Sus scrofa: one gene and its partners. The protein of the gene in region 1 purifies or fractionates together with the protein of each later gene. This does not show direct contact. Links are inferred from orthologs where the notes say so. Each region holds a gene or a part of one and is shown in the gene's direction. Other genes may lie near its edges. The genes, in order: TRIM47, FBP1 and PPM1A.

Region 1 (4,136 bases):
ATCCTCATGGATACTAGTTGGGTTCTTAACCCACTGAGCTGCAACAGGTACTCCAGACGTTTCTTGTTGTTTGGTTTTTGATGAACTTGACAGTTTCCAGGGGTTCTGGTCAAGGGCTGTGTAGTCTGTCTCTCCACTGGGATTTGTCTGAGGTTTTACTAGTAATTAGAGTGGGGTTATGGGTTTGGGGGAGGAAGCTCATATCACATCCAGGGTGCCTACTGCGGACATGACTGATGACTGTCGGTGTTGACCGCGACCACTGGCTGAGGTCGTCTTGGCCAGGTTTTGCCGCTGTCAAGTCACCCTTCTGCTCTCTTTGGAAGGAAGTCACTATGCACAGCCCGCACTTAAGGACTGGGAAGCCCTGCTCCACCTTGGAGTATTTACAGAATCTGTTTGGAATTCCTCTGAATGGGAAATTTGTCTACTCTCCCTCATTTATTTATCCAGTGATTTATTTATTATCAGCAGGAACTCATGAGTGTTTGTTTTCTACTTTGGGTTGCAACCCAGCGCTACTTTAGTTATTCTGTTGCCACTCTGTTGGGTTTAGCTTAACATCGTTGAGGTAATTTAAATACAATAAACCCCACTGGTTTAAGTGCATGGTTGGAGGAGCCTCAGCAAAGCCTCCAACTGGGGAACCCACACCCCTAGCCCAGGCCACACCACGGGAGGGACCGGAACTGAATGATGAGACTAGGGACGTGGAGGATGACCCCAGCTTCCCATTTCAGCTGTGGAGGAGCGCAAGTTCCCCGCCTGAGGTAAACAGAGTCTCTAAGGGGCAAAAACATGCGCACGTCAGCAGTTCTTTTTTTTCCTCTGCCGTCAGCAGCTCAGCAACTTTGCTAACAGTGCTGCCCAGGGGTCTGGAGCGCAAGGGGCAGGCGCGACACGGGGCGGGGGGCGGAGGTCGCCCAGCGCCTTAGGAGCCCCTGGCAGGCACGGGGTGGGGGAGTTTGGGGGGTCGTGGAGGGGTGAACTCCTTCCCTGCTTTCAGTGTGTCCCGTCCCCGTCCCGCCCTCTTCCCTCTCCCTCTTTGGTCCAGGAGGCCCTCGGGGGTCAGACGAGGCCCAGAGGCCGTCCCGCGCGGCCTGGGCTGGGGCGGGTGCCCGGGCGGGCAGGCGGGCCCGCGGCGCCGGGGGCGGGCCGAGCGGGGGGCGGGCCCCTTGGCTGCGGTCCAGGGGGCGGGGCGGCGGCGCGGACGGTCTGGGTCCCTCCCAGGCGGGAGCGGCCCAGGCGGTGCCCCAGCGGCCGCGGAGCCATGGACGGCGGCTGGCCCTTCAGCTGCCCCATCTGCTTGGAGCCGCTCCGGGAGCCAGTGACGCTGCCCTGCGGCCACAACTTCTGTCTCGCCTGCCTGAGCGCGCTCTGGCCGCACCGCGGCGCGGGGGGCGCCGGGGGGCCGGGAGGCACGGCCCGCTGCCCGCTGTGCCAGGAGCCTTTCCCCGACGGCCTGCAGCTCCGCAAGAACCACACGCTGTCCGAGCTGCTGCAGCTCCGTCAGGGCTCGGGCCCGGGGCCCGGCCCAGGCCCGGCGCCGACCCCGGCCGCAGCCCTGGCGCCCGAGCCGGCGGCGCCCAGCGCGCCGCCCAGCTCGCCGCCCAGCGCTCCGGAGCCATCGGCGCCCAGCGCGCCCGAGCCGTGGCCGGAGGGCGAAGAGCCGGTGCGCTGCGACGCGTGCCCCGAGGGCGCCGCCCTGCCCGCCGCGCTCTCCTGCCTCTCCTGCCTCGCCTCCTTCTGTCCCGCACATCTGGGCCCGCACGAGCGCAGCCCCGCGCTGCGCGGACATCGCCTGGTGCCGCCGCTGCGCCGGCTGGAGGAGAGCCTGTGCCCGCGCCACCTGCGGCCGCTGGAGCGCTACTGCCGCGCGGACCGCGTGTGCCTTTGCGAGACCTGCGCCGCCCAGGAGCACCGAGGCCACGAGCTTGTGCCGCTGGAGCAGGAGCGCGCGCTCCAGGAGGTGGGATGCGGTTGCAGCGGGCGGGCGGGCGGCCGGGACGGGTGACCCGCCTCGAGAGCCGAGGCCCCATCACCCCCATCCTTCCCAGGCTGGGTCTTAATTTCCTCCTTTGCCGTCCCTTCCAGCCTGGACAGTCATCTGATCGCTGTGGGACATTTCGCTCAGGATGAGAATGGGGGGGGGGGTTGGAGGAACCCAGTGTGAACCCAAAAAGGACGGGAAAAGCAGGCTGGGGTCCCGAGGCTGGGGCGCGGCCGGGGGCGGGGGGGGTGTTTAAAGCAGCAGAGAGCTCGTGCCCATGCCGGTCCCAGCTCAGATTTGCTGCGGTGAGGGTTTCAGTGGGTGGGGCAGGCGACAGGAGGGCTGCAGAGGTGGGGCCGAACCCACCGGCACACAGACCCCTCTGTCCAGCTGACCTGGCGGCCCGCAGTGAGAGCATGTGGGCGCTGTCCAGCTCGTTACCTCCGCCCCCAGTTTCCTTTGGCCCTCAGCCGGGTCTTGGCACTTCTGGCCTTGGGATTTTCCGTCTCTCCTGCCTGGAGCAGTGACTCATAAGACCCAGGGGGTTTGCCCGGAATCCCCATTTTTCAGGCCTGGACTGGGGACACAAACTCTTTGAGAACAGGGATTCTCAGAACAGCTGAATGCCAGCTTGTGCAGCCACCTGTCCTCTCTCAGTCTCTGCCTCGTCCCCACCTAGGGAAGCTCCCAAATGAATGTGAGCGATATTGAGGAGCATGGATGGCCCTGTACTTGCTCACAAGTCAGAGAGGAGAGGCAGACACCCCACAGCCAGCCTGCCTGCCCTCCCCTTTGGGAATGGCACCTGCCTGGGCTTGAGGCACCCCCTGGCGTACTGTACAACATCGCGGCCACTCCCAGCTCCACCTAGGCACAGATACCACTCCTGGGTCCCCCACCACCACCCTTGGTAAGACCTGGGACCCCAGTGCAGGGCTGTGACCTCGGCCAGACCCTGTGCTCCTTAAGGATGTCACCTGCAGGCTGAGCAGCCCAAAGTCCTGAGCGCCGTGGAGGACCGCATGGATGAGCTGGGCGCCGGCATTGCACAGTCCCGGCGCACCGTGGCCCTCATCAAGGTCAGATCCTGTCCTAACCCCTGTCCCGGCCACTCTCGTAGCCAGCTCCCGCCCGGCAGTGTGCGCTTGCGGTACACCGACCACACCAAAGACGCCCGCGCTCCCGGCCTTGCCCGGCCCCAGTGAGCGCGAGCATCTCCCAGACCTGGCATAAACCCAGGATGGCTCGGGCTGGTGCCTTCGTCCCCCCAAGAGGACAGGGTGGGAAGGAGGGGTCTGGGAGGAATGGCCAAGACAGCAGGGTTCTTTGCCCTCATTGCTGCCCTCTGTCGTCTTGTGCAGAGCGCAGCCGTGGCAGAGCGAGAAAGGGTGAGCCGGCTGTTTGCCGAGGCCGCGGCCGTCCTGCAGAGGTTCCAGACAGAGGTGCTGGGCTTCATCGACGAGGGGGAGGCCACCATGCTGGGCCATTCCCAGGGCGACCTGCGGCGCCAGGAGGACCAGCGCAGCCGTCTCAGCCAGGCCCGCCACAACCTCAGTCAGGTCCCCGAGGCCGACTCGGTCAGCTTCCTGCAGGTGAGGGCAGCTCTGTGAGCCAAAGAGGGCCCAGAAGGGGTTGGGCAGAAGCGGAGGGAGGAGAAGGCAGTGGATGCCTGGTCCCCCAGGCCGTGCCAGCCTCCTGGCAGAGCTGTCTCACCCCCACCGGGAGGAGCTGTAGCCAGCAGAGCCTTAATGGGCATTTGTCTGGTACAGGAGCTCCTGGCACTCAGGCTGGCCTTGGAGGAGGGGTGCGGCCCTGGGCCCGCTCCCCCGAGGGAGCTCAGCTTCACCAAGTCGTCCCAGGCCGTCCGGAAGGTGCGAGATGTGCTGGCTTCGGCCTGCACCAGCCAGTGGGAGCAGCTGCAGGGGCTGGGCAGTGACGAGGACGGGCTGCAGAAGCCAGGCACGGAAGGTGGGTGCCCCCGCAAGTGACTCACCCCTCCCCAGACTCCCCACACGGCGCCCAGGCCTGGTGCCATCCAGCAGTGGAGGATGGAAACGGTGCCTAGCACAGGGTGGGACCCAAAATCCTGCCAGTGCCTGGAGCCACCACCCTGTAATCACGAGTCAGCCCCTGTGGCCACAGCCCA
Region 2 (3,646 bases), on another chromosome or scaffold:
TGTTTTCCAGGTGGGCAAGGGAACGGTGCCGAAAGAGGTGATGCTGGAAAATGGGCTGGATGATAAATTGATTTACCTCTTAGAGAGAGCCAGGCCAGATGGGTTAGGACTGTTTCTGCTGTTGGTTCAGTTGTGTCCAGCCAGAGACACGCAAGTTACGTCTGGAGAAAATGCATCTTCAGGAGTGGAAGCCGTGAATGTCATGGCAATCCATTCCCGGGCCAGTGCTCCCAGCCATCTCAGCCCAGGGTGCCACGGTGCCCCTGATCACCCACTCTGAGCTGTTTGGCAGTATCTTCAATGCTTTGACTCTTTCCCTTCCCACATCCGGTGTCTAATCTTGTTCCAAGCACCTTCCTCTAAGACATCTCCTCTCTCTTTTTTTTTTTCTCCTTTTTAGCACCTATGGCATAGGGAGGTTCCCAGGCTAAGGGTCTAATCAGAGCTATAGCTGCCGGCCTACACCACAGCCACAGCAACGCCAGATCCGAGCCTTGTCTGTGACCTACACCACAGCTCATGGAAATGCTGGATCCTTAACCCACTGAGTGAGGCCAGGGATTGAACCCACAACCTCATGGTTCCTAGTCAGATTCATTTCTGCTGCACCATGATGGGAACTCCTCTCCTCTCCTTTCAGTGTTCCTATTCAACTGCAGGCTATGATAACCCTCCTCTTGCCTCATTCTAACAAACTTGGACTTGAGATTCTGGGAACTCGCCATTACTGACTTGCAGGTACCTTGAAAATAAAGACTCCAGGCTTCGGCACTCCCTCTGACCCCTGGGACTCCCACCAGAGGCTGCGAGGTGCCACCAAGAGAAGCCTGGCCTGGAAGCCAAAGTGAGCTTGTCACAGCTTCTCTAGTTTAGAGAAGTCTGCTGGTGGCTGGGAGTGAGGTCCCACCTCTATAAAACGAGGTGGTAGGATCTGTCAATAATTCTTTTTCTTTTAGGATCTTCTCAGTTATAAAACCATAGATCCCTTGGCTTAGTCCCCATCTCCTAGCCAGGTTCCCTTGCTTGCTGTGTCTTTCATTATGCATTAACTCACAGGGAAAAAATTGGTTTTTGTATGTATGTACCTTCTTTTTTTTTGGTCTTTTGCCTTTTCTAGGGCTGCTCCCGTGGCATATGGAGGTTCCCAGGCTAGGGGTCTAATCAGAGCTATAGCCGCCGGCCTACGCCAGAGCCATAGCAACGCCAGATCCAAGCCGCGTCTGCAACCTACACCACAACTCACAGCAACGCCGGATCCTTAACCCACTGAGCAAGGCCAGGGATCGAACCCGCAACCTCATGGTTCCTAGTCGGATTTGTTAACCACTGAGCCATGACGGGAACTCCTATATGTACCTTTTAAGACATAGGCACATACAGTGCATAAATAGACATATACTCTACATGCAGTATTAAAATTAGAATTCTCATTATGGCTCAGTGGGTTATGAACCTGACTAGTATCCATGAGGATGCAGGTTTGCTCCCTGGCCTCACTCGGTGGGTTAAGGATCTGGCGTTGCCATGAGCTGGGGTGTGGGTCGCAGATACAGCTTGGATCCTGCATTTCTGTGGCTGTGGTGTAAGGCGGCAGCTACAGCTCTGATTTGACCCCCAGCCTGGGAACCTCCATATGCCACAGATGTGGCCCTAAAAAGCAAAAAGAAAAAATTTTAATTAAGTTAAAATTTTGTGGAGGAGTGTGTGAGAAAAGAAAAGTCTAAAAAAGTCTTTGGAGAAGTTCCCCTCGTGGCGCAGTGGTTAACGAATCCGACTAGGAACCATGAGGTTGTGGGTTCGTTCCCTGGCCTTGCTCAGTGGGTTAAGGATCCGGCGTTGCTGTGAGTTGTGGTGTAGGTTGCAGACACGGCTTGGATCCTGCGTTGCTGTGGCTCTGGCGTAGGCCGGCGGCTACAGCTCCGATTCGACCCCTAGCCTGGGAACCTCCATATGCCACGGGAGCATCCCAAGAAAATGGCAAAAAGACAAAAATAAAAATAAAAATAAATAAGTCTCCTTCGGGACCATAATGGAAAAAAAAAGATTGAGAAACTTGGATTTAACCACAAAGGTGTTCTGGGTACCATGACAGGTACTGGACAGTGAATGGCAATACTTCCTGAAGGAGCCAATCCAGAGGGATTCTTCTATTTCGTTCTTCTCATTCTATTTCTCTCAAACCACGTGTCTTCTCTCCTTTCTTCTAAATCCCAATAAATGGGGTTTACTGGGTTTCTAGGTACATCTACCTATTCTGGTGGTCATGGCTGATAATTTTTTGCTTTTCATCCTCCTAGCTATGGAATTGCTGGCTCCACAAACGTGACAGGTGATCAAGTGAAGAAGTTGGATGTCCTCTCCAATGACCTGGTTATTAACGTGTTAAAGTCATCTTTTGCCACCTGCGTTCTCGTGTCAGAAGAAGATAAAAACGCCATAATAGTAGAACCTGAGAAAAGGGTGGGTCTGCTTCTCTGTTACTAAGGGGTTGAATGGAGCAGGTTTTTTTCCTTCCTCGCTCTGCTTACTCAGCCAAGCTGGATTCCTAGGAATCCTGCCTGAACCATTAATCCTCATTTCACAGACAGCCTGCCCTCTTGTCCATGCTACGACCACAGTCCATGTCGTTACCAGCTCTCCTGTGCACTCATACATGGGAGACACTCAAAGATTCTGACTCATCTCCACTCCTTTTTATTGTCATATTCAAAGCACTTCAAAGTCTGGCTTCCATTAACTACCTCTTTTGCGTCACCTCCATCCATCCATCCAATGCCCAACCTTCACAACCAACTCTCCTGCCAATCTAAACTGTTCGCTGGAGTTCCCATCGTAGCTCAGTGGTAACAAGCCCAATGAATATCCATGAGGATGCAGTTTCGATCCCTGGCCTCACCCAGTGGGTTAAGGACCCAGCATTGCCTTGAGCTGTGGTGTAGGTCGCAGATGTGGCTCGGATCCTGCATTGCTGTGGCTGTGGCGTAGGCTAGGCTAGCAGCTACAGCTCCAATTCAACCCCTAGCCTGGGAACCTGCATATACCACGGGTATGGCCCTAAAAAGATAAATAAATAAATAAACAAATAAACTGCTCGCAGTTCCCACCACTGATTCATGCATTGGAACCGATTAATCTGATTGCTTCTTGAGGGCAGAGAATGAATTATATTCTTCTTTGTATCTCAGCATCTAGCACAATACTTGGAGCGCCGTGGTGACTCAACAGCAAATGATTATTGAAAAAGTGAATGAAAGAGTATATCTAGATTTTACACAATGACAACAATGATATAATAATAAAAAAACTTTTTTTTTCCTTGTCTTTTTAGGGCAGCACCCACGGCATATGGAGGTTCCCATGCTAGGGGTCGAATCGGAGCTGCTGCCACTGGCCTACGCCAGAGCCACAGCAACGCCAGATCCGAGCCGCATCTGAGACCTACAACACAGCTCATGGCAATGCCAGGTCCTTAACCCACTGAGTGAGGCCAGGGATCGAACCCACAACCTCATGGTTCCTAGTCAGATTCATTTCCGCTGCTCCATGACGGGAACTCCAATAAGAAAACTTTTGAGATGAGCCATGCAGTTCTATGGGCTTACACTCTTTCTCTGGTTGAGATGAGTTGGGGACATAAAGGAGAAGA
Region 3 (3,646 bases), on another chromosome or scaffold:
ATAGCATAGTACAGATGTGAAACCTGAAGATATGGAGGGCTAACTGTAATACCTCCAACCACTGCTTTAGCCTAGCTAAAGGAGTTGAGGTACAGAGATGAGGCAACTTGCCATTGACCTTCAGCAGATGACTTAACCTCACCATGGCTTAATCATCTTCTGTCCACTATCTATCTAGGCATTCCATTTAATCTTTACCACAGATACACAGATGCCTAGGTTCCACACCTACTGTGGAAATTGATTTTTTTAATTTTCATTTTTCAAAAGGCCCATAGATAATTCTTTTGTATAGCCATAATTGAGACCATTGCCTTAATATAAATGGTATGTTACAGTCAGGCAGCCTTAAATTAGAGTCCTTATTCTCCTAAACTTACCTTTTGAGTGATGTTGGCCATGTTCTTTTGTCTTATTAAAGTTCATCTATAAATTGCAGATAGTATTATTACCCACTTTAGAGTGTTGTTGAGAGTGAATTGAGGTAATGCTTGTATAAAAACACTCATCAGAATGATTTAGAATTCATCCTAAACATTGTCTGCTATTAAGGTATCATTAGTTTTTTTGTTTGTTTTTTTAAATGACTGCACCTAAGGCATATGGAAGTTCCCAGGAGGGTTGAATCTTAGCTGCAGCTGAGGCCTATGCCAGCTGCAGCTGAGGCCTATGCCAGAGCAACAGCAACACTGGATCTGAGTCATATCTGTGACCTACACTGCAGCTTGTGGCAACATTGGATCCTTAACCCACTGAGTGAGGTCAGTGATTGAACCCACATCTTCATGAACACTAATATTGGGTTCTTAACCTCCTATGCCACAGGAACTCAAAACACAGACCCTTGCCATATTGTGAATCAACTTGATGTCAGAAAAGTGATCTGATGAATACCACTACAAGGAATGAAGCATGGCCAGTTTTCATTATTTACCCTCTAGTAGTGGAATTATCATAGGAGGCAGACAAGTAGGCGAGAGATCCGTTTTATCACACCACAGCCAGCCAGACTTCTCTGCTGGATAATAGTTTGGTCCTGGTAGGATAAAGAAGGGGTGAGGGGTTGCTAGGAAACTGTTTCCTTTCTGAGTTTTTTTTCTTCTTCCTCTTTCTCTCCCAGCTTCTTCTCAGAGCTTAGCATCACTAGTGTCATCAGTCTCCTAGTGTCTTAAGTGCATCCTGATTTACTTAGGTACTTTTCCCCACTCCTACTTATCTCCCCTTTACCTCCATTAAATCTCATTCTATCCTTCTTTCAGATTGCGTTAAGTTGTGACTCATGTGATGACTTGGCCCTCAAGTCTACATTACTAGGCTTACTCAAGTAAAGACCAACCTAAATCCTGACCATCTTCCTGCCTTGTGTAAGCTCATTCCAGACCAGAGGTTTTTGCTTTTTTTTTTTTTTTTTGTCTTTTTAGAGATGTACACACAGCATGAGGTTTCCAGGCTAGGGGTCTAATCAGAGCAGTAGCTGCCAGCCTACACCACAGTTACAGCAAAGCAGGATCCAAGCCATGTCTGCAACCTACACCACAGCTCATTGCAACGCCAGATTCTTAACCCAATGAGTGAGGACAGGGATTGAATCCATGTTCTCATGGATGCTAGTTGGGTTCGTTAACTGCTGAGCCATGACAGAAACTCTGGGTTTTTGCTTTTGATTATTGGTAAAGGATTAGATTAGCTGAGCTTTCAAGCTTGTCCATAGTGTTGTGCTAGACCTTTTGATCTTCTTATCAAAACTTTTTATATCTAATGGTTATGGAGTAGCATAATAATGATACATGTTATTACAACTAGATTAGGTTACAGTAGATTAATTGTTTAACATTTCCATATAACAGTCTTCATTACATGTATATATAATTGCTTTGCAATGTGAAAGTTGAGGTTGGACCACTTAAGCAATATAATAACTTACTGGCTTTCTCAAAGGCTGAAAAACCTATGGAAAAGGTAGAATTGAAGCTAGACTTTAAAGGATAGGTGTACTTATTTTTCTAAGTAGGGAAGGAAGGCAAGGGATTCCAGTTAAGGGAACTGACATGAGCAAAGCCTTGAAGGATCATGCAAATTTTGATTGTTGTGAGTATATTGTTTTTTACTTTTTCAGAGGGTTCATATAAGTAGGAATAAAACTAGACATTTGGAATCAAACTTTGAGAAATCTTGAATGTTAAACTAAGATGTCTAAATTAGTAGGCTTTTGATATGTCCTGTGAATTCATTTGGCTTTTCTTGGCTAATATACACATACAAATTAGTTTTGAGATTCTCTTAAGAGATTCACATTTTCATTGCATCCTTAACCACTTGACTTGGTTCATAAGTTGACGGCCATTGCCAAGTCTTTTCTATCTTAAATGGTTGTTCTCTGGGGAAAGTGTAAGATAAACTACTTTTATCAAGATACTTTACCTGTTAAGACATTTTGAGCTATGCCTGTTGAGCCTCTCCCCCATTTCTTTCTTGTTAATGATCAGGTTTCAGTTCTACAGTATAATGAGTGTCTGCTTATTCCAAGAGTTGTGAATTCTTATTTAAAGCTTTCTTTTTTTTTTTTTTATTTCCTTCATTCTTAAAAGGGTTGTGTATGTATTTTGTTTATAAGATAGTTATTAACTTTCCTGTTTCTCTTCCTTTGCAGACCTAGAGGATCAAGACATAATGGGAGCATTTTTAGACAAACCAAAGATGGAAAAACATAACGCCCAAGGCCAGGGTAATGGGTTGCGATATGGGCTAAGCAGCATGCAAGGCTGGCGAGTTGAAATGGAGGATGCACATACAGCTGTGATTGGTTTGCCAAGTGGACTTGAAACATGGTCATTCTTTGCTGTATATGATGGGCATGCTGGTTCTCAGGTTGCCAAATACTGCTGTGAGCATTTGTTAGATCACATCACCAATAACCAGGATTTTAAAGGGTCTGCAGGAGCACCTTCTGTGGAAAATGTGAAGAATGGAATCAGAACAGGTTTTCTGGAAATTGATGAACACATGAGAGTCATGTCAGAGAAGAAACATGGTGCTGATAGAAGTGGGTCAACAGCTGTAGGTGTCTTAATATCTCCTCAGCATACTTATTTCATTAACTGTGGAGACTCGAGAGGTTTACTTTGTAGGAACAGGAAAGTTCACTTCTTCACACAAGATCACAAACCAAGTAATCCGCTGGAAAAAGAACGAATTCAGAATGCAGGTGGTTCTGTGATGATTCAGCGTGTGAATGGCTCTTTGGCTGTGTCAAGGGCCCTTGGGGACTTTGATTACAAATGTGTCCATGGAAAAGGTCCTACCGAGCAGCTTGTTTCACCAGAGCCTGAAGTCCATGATATTGAAAGATCTGAAGAAGATGATCAGTTCATTATTCTTGCATGTGATGGTATTTGGGATGTTATGGGAAATGAAGAGCTCTGTGATTTTGTAAGATCCAGACTTGAAGTCACTGATGACCTTGAGAAAGTTTGCAATGAAGTAGTCGACACCTGTTTGTATAAGGTAGCTAGACTTTTTTTTTTTTTTTAAGGCAAAATGATTTTATGTCATCTTAATTATTATCCTAGTATATTAACATCTTAGAACCAATACTTCTCAGGAATAAGTTTTTGGTACTATTCATCCGTTATGAAAATAATATAGT

Evidence for each region.
Region 2: the proteins of TRIM47 (region 1) and FBP1 purify together in Homo sapiens (affinity purification with western blotting; 3 studies listed by BioGRID). This does not show direct contact. The link is inferred for Sus scrofa from reciprocal best matches to the Homo sapiens genes TRIM47 and FBP1.
Region 3: the proteins of TRIM47 (region 1) and PPM1A purify together in Homo sapiens (affinity purification with western blotting; 3 studies listed by BioGRID, with this or other methods). This does not show direct contact. The link is inferred for Sus scrofa from reciprocal best matches to the Homo sapiens genes TRIM47 and PPM1A.

What each region holds. Positions count from the first base shown.
Region 1 is NC_010454.4:5,534,067-5,538,202, forward strand, and holds the start of TRIM47 (tripartite motif-containing protein 47), read left to right. Parts: upstream 1-1,192; 5' UTR 1,193-1,270; coding exon 1,271-1,969; intron 1,970-2,973; coding exon 2,974-3,069; intron 3,070-3,351; coding exon 3,352-3,582; intron 3,583-3,759; coding exon 3,760-3,958; intron 3,959-4,136. UniProt on the Homo sapiens protein: E3 ubiquitin-protein ligase that mediates the ubiquitination and proteasomal degradation of CYLD.
Region 2 is NC_010452.4:27,602,051-27,605,696, forward strand, and holds part of FBP1 (fructose-1,6-bisphosphatase 1), read left to right. Parts: intron 1-2,297; coding exon 2,298-2,460; intron 2,461-3,646. UniProt on the Homo sapiens protein: Catalyzes the hydrolysis of fructose 1,6-bisphosphate to fructose 6-phosphate in the presence of divalent cations, acting as a rate-limiting enzyme in gluconeogenesis. Plays a role in regulating glucose sensing and insulin secretion of pancreatic beta-cells.
Region 3 is NC_010443.5:189,277,107-189,280,752, forward strand, and holds part of PPM1A (protein phosphatase 1A), read left to right. Parts: intron 1-2,069; exon of another isoform or gene 2,070-2,088; intron 2,089-2,650; coding exon 2,651-3,504; intron 3,505-3,646. UniProt on the Homo sapiens protein: Enzyme with a broad specificity. Negatively regulates TGF-beta signaling through dephosphorylating SMAD2 and SMAD3, resulting in their dissociation from SMAD4, nuclear export of the SMADs and termination of the TGF-beta-mediated signaling.